2 linked regions of the Caenorhabditis elegans genome follow. The protein of the gene in region 2 interacts with the protein of the main gene of each other region in a pairwise test. Each region holds a gene or a part of one and is shown on either strand. Other genes may lie near its edges.

Region 1 (6,869 bases), on a different chromosome or scaffold from region 2:
CAGGAGCGCCTTCTTCATCGCCCATCCGCCCGTCCAGAACAAAATAATTATCAAAAATAATGTTTTTTTCCCGATCGCTTTTTTTTCAATTCTAGCCCACCCACCCACGCATTTTTTGCAATTTTTTAAATACTTCCTACCCGAACAACCGTGCCTTTATCTCTGAAAATCTCCTCACTTTATATGTTTTGATTTTTCTCGAAAAATTCTTTCAATTCAATTCTGACGTGGTGTCAGAGTGTCTCATTTCGGCTTGATCTACGTTGATCTACAAAAAAAAGTGCGGGGAAATGGAGGCAGAGTTCTCAACTCATTTTGCAACAAAAAAAATTCCCGCATTTTTTGTAGATCAAACCGTAATGGGACAGCCTCTGGCACCACGTGTATTCTATTCTATGATCTTTTGAGCTATTCACACCAATTTACACATACAATTTTCGAATTTTGCATCTGAACTCCCTTACCTCATTGAATATAAAAATTATTTAACTTTTTTTTTTGGAAAATTTTTGTTTTTTTTTTCGGTTTTTTATCCGAATTTCTACTATTTTGGGTTTTAAAAATTTTAGTTTAAAGGTACAGTCAAACTTTTTTTTTCTTCAAATTTGGGCGGCAATTGCCGTTCGGCAAATCGCGGAAATTGCCGGTTTGCCGGAAATTTTCAATTTCGGTAATTTGCCGATTCGCCGGAATAATTCAATTCCGGCAATTTGACTATTTGCCGGAAATTTTCATTTTCGGCAAATTGCCGATTTGCCGGAGATGCTCAATTCTGGCAGTTTGCCGATTTGCCGGAAATTTAAATTCTGGTAGTTTGCCTATTTGCCGGAAATTTTCAATTTCGGCAAATTGTTGATTTGCCGGAAATTTCAATTTTCGATAATTTGCCGATTTGCCGGAAATGTTCAATTCCGGCAATTTGACTATTTGCCGGAAATTTTTAATTTCGGCAATTTCTCGATTTGCCGGAAATTTCAATTTTCGATAATTTGCCGATTTGCCGGTAATTTTTCTTTGTCGGCAACTTCTCGATTTGCCGGAAATGTTCAATTTTGGCAATTTGCCGAAAATGTTCAATTCTGGCAATTTGCCGATTATGCCGGAATTTTCAATTTCTGCAGTTTGCCGATTTGCCGGAGATGCTCAATTCTGGCAATTTGCCGGAAATTTCAATTCCGGCAAATGGCCGGTTTGTCGACTTGCCGATTTGCCGGAAATTCATTTTCTTTATTTTCGGGCTAAATTCTTCGGTTTATTTTGTTAACTTTTTCTTCTGTTATTTATAAAAAAATTTAAAAAAAATTTCCGCCAAATTGCCGGAATTGACCCTTTCTGGCAAATCGGCAAATCGCCAGAATTGAAAATTTTCTGGCAAGTCGACAAATTGCCGGAATTAAAAATTTCCGGCAAATTGTGCTTTTTCACATTTTTGATTTTTCAAAAATTAAAAAAAATTTTTTAGTTTTTTTACAGTCATATTCGGTCATTAGAGTCTATTTTCTGCCAAAAAAAAAAAAACAGAAAAATTTTTTTAAAATAAATAAATAAAATTTTTTCGACTCTCCTCCACCTATTATAACTTAATCTCATTCAGAAATGGGAGAACCTTCACCTAGTCGGCGTCGATCAATCACCTCAGGAATACCATGCCCGTCACCAACGAAACAAGTCCTACCGCCACCGCCACCAGAAGAATTGCACAATATTCTACGAAAACGGCCACGGAGCAGCGCCATTCCGACGACGAGCCAGACTCATGTGAGAGCTCCACGTAAGGAGACGGATGTTGTCGATCGGATTTGGCACGATATTGACGAGGAGCAACGAGAAAAGCTGGCTCGGCGGAAGGAAGAAGCCGCCAAGAGAAAAGAGCAACAGCCGGCTCAACACATCAGGGACTATTTGCCATTGACTGCGACAAATTTGAGGAATTTCCGGAATGAAGACTCGACGATCAGTGATTTTATACATCGGCAGGGGATGGTTGACAAGCTGCTCGGCTACAAAATGCTGCTGGGAAAAATGGAGAACTGCGGGACGCTGGGCTACGAGAAAATGAGCGAAGACGAGGTTCAGCAGCTCTCCAGGGAATGGCTCAAAAACTTTTTCCCTTCAGAGCAAGCCCACGTCGGCCCACGTACCCCACCGAGCCCCGCCGTCGATTCTGATGGTGGTAGTTATCCGAAACGGCCTCGTCGAGGCCCGAAAACTCCTCCCGGATCTCCTGGGCCTTCGATGGATCAGGCGGCCGTGAATCGACGGGAGCTCATCGAGCAACTTGCGAGAAATTTTGGAATTAGTTCGTATAAAGTGGAGGAGACACTTGGCACTGGGTTGGACAAGGCGCTTGAGGATTGCTCGAAAAAGTTGAAGAATGAGCTGATGGAGACGTTTAAGGATCAGCTGTTGAGCCAGATTGATCGGAAAACTAAAATGTATGAGAGTTGGAATATCAATGAATTAGAGAATCCTATGTGAAAAAAATGTCAAAAATCGATAATTTCCATGAAAAATCGATAATTTCTATCAAAAATCGATAATTTTTATTTCTGAAAAACTCGATTTTTGATATAAATTATCGATTTTTGATTAAAATTATCGATTTTTGATAGAAAATATCAAAAATCGATAATTTCCATGAAAAATCGATAATTTCTATCAAAAATCGATAATTTTTATTTCTGAAAAACTCGATTTTTGATATAAATTATCGATTTTTGATTAAAATTATCGATTTTTGATAGAAAATATCAAAAATCGATAATTTCCATGAAAAATCGATAAATTTCATCAAAAATCGATAATTTGAATTTTAAAAATATCGATTTTTGGTATAAAATATCGATTTTTGATTAAAATTATCGATTTTTGATAGGAATTAACAAAAATCGATAATTTCTATCTTCACCGAAAAATCAATATTTTATCGATTTTTATAAATTTTTTGCAATAAAAAAAATCTATATTTTATCGATTTTTATAAATTTTTTGCAATAAAAAAATCAATATTTTATCGATTTTTATAAATTTTTTCATTAAAAATTAATATTTTATCCTTTTTTTCAACAAAAAACTAATAATTTATAAATAGATTTTTCCAGAATAAAAATCGATTTTTAATCATTTTTTCTTTAAAAAAATCAATATTTTACCGATTTTTAATCTTTTTTTCAGAAAAATCAATATTTTATCCTCTTTTTTGTTCAACAAAAAAACTAATAATTTATAAATAGATTTTTCCAGAATAAAAATCGATTTTTAATCATTTTTTCTTTAAAAAAAATCAATATTTTTCCGATTTTTAATCTTTTTTTCAGAAAAATCAATATTTTATCCTCTTTTTTGTTCAACAAAAAAAAAATAATTTTCAGATTTTTCGAGGAAAAAAATCGATTTTTCTGAATTGTTTTTTGCGATTTTTCAACAAAAAAAAACAATGTTTTCTAGATTTTTTAAACAAAAAATATCGATTTTTAACAATTTTTTCAATTTAATGAACATTAATCAACATTGGTAACAAAATCAATATTTTATCGATTAAAAAAATTGATTTTTTATCAATTTTTTAAGAAAAAAAATAAATGTGTTATCGATTTTTTTTTCAAAAAATTAACACCACTGTCGATTTTTCTGAATTTCTTTTTTGCAATTTTTCGGGATCCCAGGGAATCGAAAAATCGAAAAATTTGTTCGATGAAACCCTCATTTAAGATATTCTTTTTAAAAAGATATTAATTTTCAGTCGGGACGATTTATCGGATCAAATGGAGCTGGTCTCGGATTGCTCACTATCACCAGATTTGATAAAAAAGGAAGAACCAGACGTTGTGTATCATATGGCAGTACCACCACCACCTATACCTCCACCAATTCAGCCACCTCCTTATTCGTAAATTTTTTCCAGAAAAATTATTTTTTATTAAAAAAAAAGTTTTTTCAGTTACTACCCAGTAGCTCCAGCTGCTGCTCCACAAGTCTACCATTATGCTCCACCACCGCCACCACCGCCCCCGCATCCCCAGCAGGGGTTATATCAGCAGAATATGATGGCCTATGTAGGTGTTTTGTGGAAGCCTGGAGGCCCGGTTTTTGGAAAAAAATTGGTTTTTTTTTCAGAAAAAATTTAAAAAAAAACAAAACATTTTGATTTTTTTCCCCGAAAAAAAAAATTCAAAAAAAAGTTTCAAAACACAAACAAAAAATTCTGAAAAAAAAAAAGACGAAAAATTTAGATTTTTCCAGTAAAAATTTAAAAAACCCCCTAAAATTTTAGATTTAAAAAAAATTAAAAAACGAAAAATTTCGATTTTTTAAAAGAATAAAATCTAAAAACGAATAATTAAAAAATTTAAAAAAAAACGATTTTTTCAGTAAAAAAAATATAAAAATGACTAAAATCAAAAAACGGAAAATTAGAATTTTTCAGAGAAAAAAAACGGATTTTTTCAGTAAAAAGATAAAAAAAGTGATACATTTTTGATTTGATAGAAAAAAATATCGAAAAACAAATTTGTTTCATTTTTTCAGAAATTGTCAAAAAACGACAAATTTTTGGTTTTTTCATTTAAAACTATTCAAAAAAAGTAACATTTTTGATTTATTTTTAAAAAAATCGAAAAACAAATTTTTCATTTTTTTTCCAGAAAAATCAAAAAACCAATTTTTAGAAAAATAGATCAAAAAACAAAGGTTTTTTTTGGTTTTTTCAAAAAAAAATTTTTTTTTTAAATCAAAAAACGAAAAATTCGAATTTTCAGAGAAAAAACGGCATTTTTCAGTAAAGAGATAAAAAAGTGATACATTTTTGATTTATCTAAAAAAAAAATCGAAAAACGAAAATTTTCGATTTTTTCAGAAAAATATTAAAAAAACGGAATTTTTTTAGTGAAAAGCTTTTTTTTTCCGAAAAATCACTTTTTTTTGAGAAAAAATACCGGAAAACGGAAAATCGAAAAACTAAAAATTTCGATTTCTCAGCAAAAAAAAACTCGATTTTTTTTGAAAGATTCCCCAAAATTTTGGTCATTTTTCTTATTTTTAGACGTTATTTGTTTTGTTATAAAGTTATTTGTTTTCTTTCAATTCTGAGAATGCGTACTGCACAACATATTTGACGCGCAACATATTAAAATATCTCGTGGCGAAAACTACAGTAATCCCTTGAATGACTACTGTAGTGTCGATTTACGGGATCTCGATTTTCGAAAATTTTAATATTCTATCGACAAATAAATTGTATTAATTCTTTTTGAAAAACGAGCCCGTAAATCGACCTACAGTAGTCATTTAATGGGTTACTGTAGTTTTCGCTACGAGATATTTTGCGCGTCAAATATGTTGTGCAATACGCATTCTCAGAATTTAATAGTCCCGTTATAAAAATTTGAATTTTTTTTCGATTTTCTTCAATTTTTCGGTTTTCCGAAGTCAAAGTGTCTCATTTTGGTTTGATCTACCTAGATCTTCAAAAAATGCGGGAGAAGAGACGCAGACTTTTCAACTGATTTCGCATGGTTAAAAACGTGCTGACGTCACATTTTCATGGGAGAAAATTCCCGCATTTTTTGTAGATCAAACAGCAATGAGACAGCCTGACGCCACGTGTGATCCTTGATCTGATCCTTGAAATCCTGGGATTCATCAATCAATTTAAGTCTACTTTCTCTTTCAGCCCCCACCTATGCAACATTTCAATGCTCCACCGCCCCCAATGGCTCCGTATCAGCACCAGGCTCCTCCATCAATCGTCCTTCCACCGGTGAACGTTCCACCTCCACCGATTGGCGTCCGAATTGATACTCCAATTCCTACTGGCAAGACATTCCGATGAGTCGGATCCCCAAATAAGAAGAATCATTATTTCAGCAGTGCTGCCGATTCCAACGATGGTTCCACCACCTCCACTGCCACCACCACAAGCTCCATTCTCTGGAGATTGCTGGCGAGCACAGCCAGCGGCTCCGGTTCCGGCCTCCGTGCCAGTCAGTTCGGCACCACCACCATCAGTGGTTGTTAATGTACAAAGTACTCTATTCTCTGCTCTCGGGCTTCATCACAAGCCTCCACCTCCTCCTCCTCCACCTCCTCCTCCGACAACTTCTTCTACTACTACATCTCACATTCCACCACCACCTCCTCCTCCGCTTCCGTTCTCTTCGGCTCCGCCACCACCGCCACCGCTTCCGATGGTCGCTGCTGGTCCGTCTCCGCCGAGCTTTGTTCCTCCTCCTCCGCCTCCGAATCCGAATCAGAATCCGTCTATCGTTTTGTCACCATCGGCGGTAACCGGAGGCGGCGGCTACCGGCATCGTGTCAATCAGTTTCCGCCGCAGCAGCAGCAGTCGTTCTCGAACTTTTGAATCCTTTCACGTGGTGTCAGAATGTCTCATTTTGGCTTGATCTACGTTGATCTACAAAAAATGCGGGAGAAGAGACGCAGAGTTCTCCACAGAGCGGCTTTTACTACGTGGCCTAGAAAAATCGAAAACTCGGCCAATGATTTATCTGGGATTTTTGACGTGGGATGTTTTTGAAACTTGACGAGAATACTCTCGAAAGGGGGTTCTATAGTTCCACCGTGGCGATTTTTGAGAAAATGTTCCGTATCGATGTTATGAAGGTGGCCGAGTTTTCTTATTTTACGGCCACGTAGTAAAAACCGCTCTGTGTCTCAACTGATTTCGCATGGTTAAGAACGTGCTGACGTCACATATTTTTGGACGGAAAATTCCCGCATTTTTTGTAGATCAAACCATGATGGGACAGCCTCCGGCACCACGTGTCCTTTCTCATTTGCCTCTCTGTGAAAAATCTGTGAATCTTGAACATATTTGAAATATCGATTTTTTTCTCTTCATTTCCTTGATTTT
Region 2 (7,663 bases):
AATGGTCTTGTTGAATACTGTCTTTGTTTCTGCCTATATTTTAATTGCCATGGTAGTAAGAGCATTCCGAGACTCTCTTAGTCTCACAAATTATAAATTTATCGCGATTAACACATTTGTAAGTTATTACTATCTGGTAAAGCATTTCAAAATTGAGATTTCAGATATTTCCTTACGTGTCATTGCTACTTTCTATGACAATTTTGGTGACCACCAGGAACGAGTTCCAGAGAAGACAACTCCGAGAGCTGAACCAAAATGGGAAAGGAGTATCGCAAACTTATTTCAATCTATATCAGCGGCAATGGAGCGTTATTTCCGAGAGAAAATGAATTTATCATAAATATTTTGTGACTAGAAATTGTGTGAATAATGTAAATTCGGGTCATCGTTTTTTTTTAATTGTATAAATTTAATTAATGAATATATATTTTTTTAATTTCTTATTCTGCATATTTTATATAAAAAGTGTTCTATTATTTGTTGGATTGTTGTTTTTAGGGCTATTAAATAGGGCATTTTCTCAATTTTTATATCATAGAGCGCGTATATGGATTTGTTTTTTTTTTTGTTGAAAAAAAAGAAAAACTAAAGCTGTTCTTTAAAATAATTTAAATAGGTATGTATGTATTTGAATATGTGGTTGAATAAAAGCAACAAATACGTGGTTTTGTAGCAATTTTCAGAAAATAGCTAAGCCAGAATACTTCCGTTGTTACATCTTGTCCTATAATCATTTTCAAACAAATTGTTCAGTTTTGTGGGTTCGGTTAAAAGATATAACATGATAAGGTTTCGATCTGATATGATCGGAACACGTTTTCTGTTTTCACTTTTTCAATCACAGACGACTATGTCTGCCATCCTCTTGTCTTACTCTAACATCATTTGAAAAATCTTAAATTGATTAGGTTTTTTGTGGAATTTTAAAGATAGCTTAGTATTGAAATTTTTTTGAATGTTACAATTGGAGTGGCATGGATTCATTGAGATGGGTTCCACCGCAAAAATAATGTTTATACCTACTTCAAATTTTTTGGGGATATTCTTTAAAACTTCTAAAAAGGGAAACGAGCAGTCGAAAAATAAGAAAAAATGCAAAAAATTATAGTTTTGTTTCTAAAAAATTGAAATGTATTTGATATCAAATTTGATAAATATGCTATTATAATGAGTTTTACCGGCATTTCGAAGTTTTCCTTCCTTGAATTTAGTTACTTTCCAAATTTACATCATAAATCTCTTTCTTATAAAATAAAAATTCATCTCTACACAAAACAATGTTCAAAAGAGCATCAAAAAGAGCACTTTGTTCGTGAGATGTGAAGAGAAAGGGTCAACACATGTTATTTATCACCGTAAGTCCGTTGAGGGGCCGCCACTATACGGGTTGAAAAGACGAGAGATACACCCCGCAAAAGAGACCCAGAGAGTGCGATGGAGCGCGTTTGCATTTCTTACTCAGTGTTCACCCGTTCTATCGATTCCATCGACAGTATTTTTAAACTCCACAGGGTTATTAATTACTAAAAATGTGTTATTTGAGAATTTATTGATTTTGAATTTTTCTCAATTTTTTTTGTTAAAAATTTATCGAATATGTTCACCGAATACAGTATTTTTTCAGAAAATGGAACCTGGTTCGGGTTCTCCGTTATCGGCTCGAGCGAAATTTCAATTCGAAGGTTCAAATAACGATGAGGTGAGGTTTTGTTTCCCACACATTCAAACTTGTGAAATTTTTTTTTAATTTAAAAAATAGTACATACTTAAATTACTTTTTGACAAAAGTATCATTCCACGAATTTTCAGCTAAGTTTCGACAAGGATGACATCATCACAATAACACAGCAGCAAGAAGGCGGATGGTGGGAAGGAACACATGAAGGAGTGACCGGATGGTTTCCGTGTGCCTATGTAACTCTCATCACAGAAAAAGGTAACTTGAATCGGAAAATTCGAGCTAATACCCACAAATTGCAGACAAACTCCAGCGATCTCGATCCGTCCCAAATGCAACTGCAAAAGGTATATCTCATGAAGATTTACTCGTTGAGACAATTCAAATTTAAAAATTCAGAAGTGGTATCCGTCGGAGCTCAACCAGATTATCGAGACCTTGTGCTCAAAAGTTATATTGAATCGGAAAAGGAGTACATGCAAAGCTTGCTCAAAACGTTGCAATCTCTATTGATTCCAATTGGGGCATCTAAAATGTGAGTTTTAAAATGTTTTTTTTAACTTTCAAAATGTGAATTTAATTCATTGCGGATTTTTCTTATTGCTTTTTTTGTTGATCAATCCAGATTCTAAAAATTGATAACTTGAAATTTGGAATGATGGGCACCTCTGCGCTATGAAAAAAAGTATCTTAAAAAGTGGGGCGAGTAGCTCACTGTTTCAAAATACAGTCACAGGTCCCATTTTTCAAAAAAAAATTGAGTCTAGCTAAAGCTTTAAAAAAGTATACCTAAATTATTACCTAAATTATTCATATTTATTTACAATTTACTTTGAGATTTACATTGAGAAAAACATCAAGTTCCATTGCATTTCCGGTGGATTTTCATTTTTGGGTACGACAATAATACATTTTTGACAATTTTCAGCTTGACGGCTCCAGAATACTGTACGTTGGTTGGGAATTTCGAAGTAATTTACACTCTGAAACGTGATCTTTTTGAACAACTGGAGCGTGAGCAAAAGTGAGTTTTAATTTCTCCAACCTTCTTCAACTTTCTTATTTCAGTGAGGAGCTTCCAAAAATGAGAGTCGGTGGAATGTTCATGAATGCTGCTCTTGAGCTCAGAACGGCACTAATGAGTTATGCTGACAATCATCCAGACGCTGTCGAAGTTCTCAAGAAGAAACAGTAAGTTTTGACAGAGCTAGAGAATGTATCGAATGTATTGTTTCGCGTTTTCAGGAAGGAGTTGGAAAAGGTGGTAAAGTCGCAGGATCGGGAGTACAAGGAATTGGTGTTAGGACTCAGTGAGCCACTCCGGCACGTCGAGAGGTACTACAACTTGCTCCAGGAGCTTGAGCGAATTGTTCCGGTGAGTATTTGAATCTAAATGAGAAAAAAAAACATAGGTCAATCGATTCATTAAACTCTGGAATTTTTTTTCATAGAGAAAGCACAGTTGTTTAATTAAAATACATCATTTTTGTGAAAATTTTATTATGATAATTTTTTTATGTTAAATTATCAAGTCTACTCATGTGAACAAACGTTGTTAATGCATAATAATTTTTATATCATTTTGAGTCAATGAGATCATCATCAAAAAAATTTTCAGGCGAATCATCCGGACCGTGGAGATTTACAACGTGGATCGGCAGTTTTTCGGGAAACAAAGGTGCGTTGTTTTAAAAATATTAGAAACACAAATCTAACTGACTCACAAGAATTAGGATCAACAAGTTTTAAAATCAAACTATTTTTAGGATTTGTGTGAAACCCTTCGTAAGCAGAAAGAAGCCCAACTCGACTTCTTGTTTGTGTCAAAAGTGGACAAGGTGGTTTCAGCGTCAGAACGAGGATCTATTCTCTATGTGGGTGTTGCAAATGTGGAATACAAGAAAGCGGATGCAGTGGATCGGTGAGTTGCCGAAAATTTTACCTGTTCAAATTTAGAAGTGATTTCAGATTCGTGGCATTGTTCACTAAATACATTATGTTTTTCGAAGTCACCAAGGATATGACATACGACATTAAGGAGAAGTTTACAGTGTCCGGTTTTATTGTTCGGAAAAAGGAAGCTACTGAAATTTCATTTGGTAAAATATTCGGATAAAAAATTAAAATTAAAAAAAAAAACAAATTAGTAACCCAAGTTTTTCTAGATCGCCCCAACACTGGAGAATTCACTCTAACGATGGTTTCAACCGGGGGTGAGGTGGAGAGATTCCTTGTTGCTTTGGCGAAAGCTGAAAACGTGGCAATCATCACTCCGACGACAACTATCTTGAGGAGACCTTCCAAAAATGCTAACGATACAATGAATCAATCACAGACTCAAGGAGCAGAGACTCCTCTGGTCGCAAAACCCCCACTTCATCCCCCAGGAAACTCGGATCAACAGTATAGTATGATGAACAAAAGAAAAAGCTCGAAGAAGTGAGTGTTTTCATGTTAACCGTGTAAAATTGGAATGAACAGACAATTATCAAAAATGTCTTCGCAACGTTTAACCCTCAATTATTTTCGATTAAGTTATATTTCTTTTCGCCGCCCGGTTAGCTCAGTCGGTAGAGCACCAGACTCTTAATCTGGTTCTCGCGGGTTCGAGCCCCGCATTGGGCTTAGTTTTTTGTTCGTTGCGATTGGTTTTCCTATTACAAGTATTTAAAGAAATTCCATGATTTGCCAAATTTTGAGATTAAATTCGTGATACCAGTTTGTATTATTCTCAAAACTTCAAAAGTAGTACCAAAACGGAAAAAAATTAAAAAAAATTTTTTTTGAATATTAAACACTGTATTGAAAAAAAACAGCGTGGCGTTTATGCACAGATTTAAAAAAACATAATTTTTGAAATCTGTTCAAACACGCTACGCAGTTTTTTCTCAGTGAAAGTGTACATACCACATACCGAGACGAACAAGTGGCGTCAATCACATTACTGTCCTTGAAAAACGTGACATATTTCTATTTGAAAGGTCGCACCACATCTACTTTTGCCGCCCGGTTAGCTCAGTCGGTAGAGCACCAGACTCTTAATCTGGTTGTCGCGGGTTCGAGCCCCGCATTGGGCTTACGCTTTTGTCTATCTCAAATGATCATTAAAAAAACTTTACTATAAAATTTACTCACTTTTCTAAATTGGGGTGCGAAGTTTCTAGGTGGAATATTTTTTCAACATTAAAGGAATTTTCTTATTAAATCCTATACACTTTTTGAAAGTATCGCTATTCAATTAATTTTCAATGTCGCGAGAAATCAATTTTGCCGGTTTGTTTATTTTAACAGTGTTGGCAACGACCGACGACCTAACAAATTTCAACACACTATTACACTAAAAAGTGCGAGACACTTCCTGACAGCCACAAAGTGCGCCTGACATTTTCACTTTTTAAATTACACGCGCCTCGGTTCCTATCGCCGCCCGGTTAGCTCAGTCGGTAGAGCACCAGACTCTTAATCTGGTTGTCGCGGGTTCGAGCCCCGCATTGGGCTTACCTTTTTTTGCATTTGTCCTCTAGACAAATGTATGCAAAAAGATATTGCAAATACGATTTTGATGGGATGGGATAGAGTATGAAGCGAAAAATTTGATGTAAATTACTACTTAGATTAATTGGTATTTATGTATTAGATGGACAAATCTCTTCTCACCAAAAATCTCTATGTTTTTCGATCCCTCGATTTTGGATAACAAGACTTGGCAACATTAACGCTCACCAATTTAGGCAACACAAGAAATTGTGTGTTCTTCACGGATCAAAACACGAAGACTTTCTAACTGTCGCATGTGAAATTTCGGACTCAATAGATCACGAAGAATAGTTCGTAACAGATACAATGGCTATTGAGATAGGAGAAATTAGGGTGAAAAGTTTTTTGTGTGGACAATATAAAAAATAATGATAAAAAACAAATAAAACATGGAACGAGACCTAAATTTTGAAATTTTCAGCTTTGATGACAGTTTAAACTTGGGAAATATGAAGTTCGATCATGAACTCGGAATGGTGCTCCCTGAAGGATTTGAGCTGCCAACAAGCAGTCGCAATTCAAGGAATACTGCAGGTAGGAGATATTTTGTTATTTATTGTTTTCTCTGTCGTGATTATGATTATCAACTAACAAAAATCTTTTTCAGATAACCTGCAATTCTCCCAGTTCCCATCGTTTTTCCTAAGCGGGAACGCCGGCAAACGAGGTGATCGTAACATTCGACTTCGAAAAGACGCGGCTCGTGATGAGGAGATTGAGTTTGAGACACTTCGAATTTTGGAAGGATACTGTGTGGAAACTGGTGGCGGACAGTCGGACTTCCATGCAAATGAAAGTTATCAACAACCACATTTGATTGTTGCAGAAGATGAGAAGATTCTGATGGAGGAGATGATTGGAGATGAAGTTGTTTTGCAAGAGAAGTAAGTTTTTTTTTGAACGATGAGACCTTAGAAGAGTCCAGTTCAGTTTTTCTAGGGTCAAGATTGTACACAATTTGTAAAAAAATTTAACCTTTTCGTTTCCTCTTCTCTTGCTGAATCATAGATATTAGGGTGGCGTATATGAAAAAATTGGGTGGGAAAATAACGGACGAATAGGAAAATCGATAATTGATTGATAAGAAAAACTAACTTCAGCAAACCTGAAATATCTAGAAACTTTGCAAAATTGGAATCCCCCCCCCCCCCCAAATTGATGTTTTTTTAGTAAAGAAGTTGATTTTTCTAAGGTTCTTTTAAAATTTCTGTTTTTTTTTTTCAAATATGTCCAGTGTTGATTCCCAAGTAGAGTAATTTGGGCACGTGGCTCAGCTTTGAACAATTTTTTAGTTCTCAATTCAAAACCGGCCAAAACGTTTTCCACTGTGTATTTAAAACTGAATGAGTTCTCAACTGATTTCGCATGGTTAAGAACGTGCTGACGTCACATTTTTAGCAACAAAAATCCCCCATATTTTGTAGATCAAACCGTAATCGGACAGCCTTGCACAACGTGCCAATAGTGATATTCCTAACAAGGCCCTTCATTTCGAAGCCAAAAAGAGATCAAACATTTACTTTCTGTAAAAATATAATTTTTGATCACCAGTAAATAATGATTGTTTTCATCTAGTCATGTTTGCTTCTTCTTTTTCTTCTTTTGTCTGTTTTGCATATCGTCCATTTTCAGTTATTATTTTTCGTACTGCTTTTAAAGAAAAGTAATAAGCTGACAAGGAAAAACAAGTATCCCCAAAGATAACAAGATGAAGAGGGGATAATTTTTGTAGAGACAATTTTTTGTAGTTTCCTTGTTTACTGATATTATTTGGTATTATAGTATTATAGCCGTTCATCGGAAATTGTTGTCTGATGAAAAACAGGACGTGAGTTGTTTTTTAGATAACTTTCAGTAGGATAGCTTGTTTTGTCATGTTTTCGACCTTTTTCGACCTTTAAGTGAAAACCATAACAATCTTTATTTCAAATTTCCCTTCACAAGTGTGTAATTTAAATAAATTTATAAGCTATTCTTCAACGAACATAAAAAGATTCGTGCATTTAGAAAACATTTCAAATTTATCTTTAAAACTTTATGTACATCGAACTTAGTTAGACATCGTCTATAAATCTGTCATTTTCATTCGTCGTACTCCTTGAGCACATCGGATGTATTTAGTTTGAACTTGAATAAGTGACCAGTATTTCCCAATGGTCAATTCGCTCTTGCTCCAACGACAATATCTATTCCTCCGACTTGCTCTCTCTTCGTCTATCTAGATTTCCGTTTCATTGCTCATTTGTCACCTCTTCTTTTTTTTTCAGAAGTATTGTGGATGCTGTGTACGCCATCAAAGATCAACTTTCGTTCCTTCAGACCGAATTTCAAAAACTAGCAAAAGTGAGTGAAAAATTCTTCTCTTCTGGTCTGTCACATCTAGCACCAATAATTTCATTTTTCCAGGTTGTTGAATCCGAACAAAAAGCACGCCGTCGTCTGGAG

What was found.
Region 1: the proteins of pix-1 (region 2) and sydn-1 interact in a two-hybrid assay, tested with the Caenorhabditis elegans proteins (one large-scale study listed by BioGRID).

The regions. Positions count from the first base shown.
Region 1 is NC_003279.8:2,376,579-2,383,447, reverse strand, and holds sydn-1 (Synaptic defective enhancer 1), read left to right. Parts: upstream 1-1,596; coding exon 1,597-2,435; intron 2,436-3,742; coding exon 3,743-3,889; intron 3,890-3,940; coding exon 3,941-4,055; intron 4,056-5,671; coding exon 5,672-5,813; intron 5,814-5,865; coding exon 5,866-6,359; downstream 6,360-6,869. UniProt on the Caenorhabditis elegans protein: Acts as a negative regulator of nuclear pre-mRNA 3'-end processing (mRNA polyadenylation). Plays a role in tissue-specific expression of protein isoforms by regulating differential processing of pre-mRNA 3'-end (alternative polyadenylation).
Region 2 is NC_003284.9:13,725,672-13,733,334, forward strand, and holds the start of pix-1 (SH3 domain-containing protein), read left to right. Parts: upstream 1-1,621; 5' UTR 1,622-1,630; coding exon 1,631-1,702; intron 1,703-1,812; coding exon 1,813-1,939; intron 1,940-1,983; coding exon 1,984-2,028; intron 2,029-2,080; coding exon 2,081-2,216; intron 2,217-2,609; coding exon 2,610-2,705; intron 2,706-2,749; coding exon 2,750-2,872; intron 2,873-2,926; coding exon 2,927-3,056; intron 3,057-3,299; coding exon 3,300-3,359; intron 3,360-3,447; coding exon 3,448-3,602; intron 3,603-3,649; coding exon 3,650-3,780; intron 3,781-3,846; coding exon 3,847-4,120; coding exon of another isoform or gene 4,121-4,124; intron 4,125-4,226; exon of another isoform or gene 4,227-4,315; intron 4,316-4,679; exon of another isoform or gene 4,680-4,769; intron 4,770-5,086; exon of another isoform or gene 5,087-5,196; intron 5,197-5,639; coding exon 5,640-5,752; intron 5,753-5,825; coding exon 5,826-6,102; intron 6,103-7,485; coding exon 7,486-7,561; intron 7,562-7,624; coding exon 7,625-7,663. Other genes in the region: K11E4.6 (G_PROTEIN_RECEP_F1_2 domain-containing protein), read left to right, coding at 1-118, 165-332.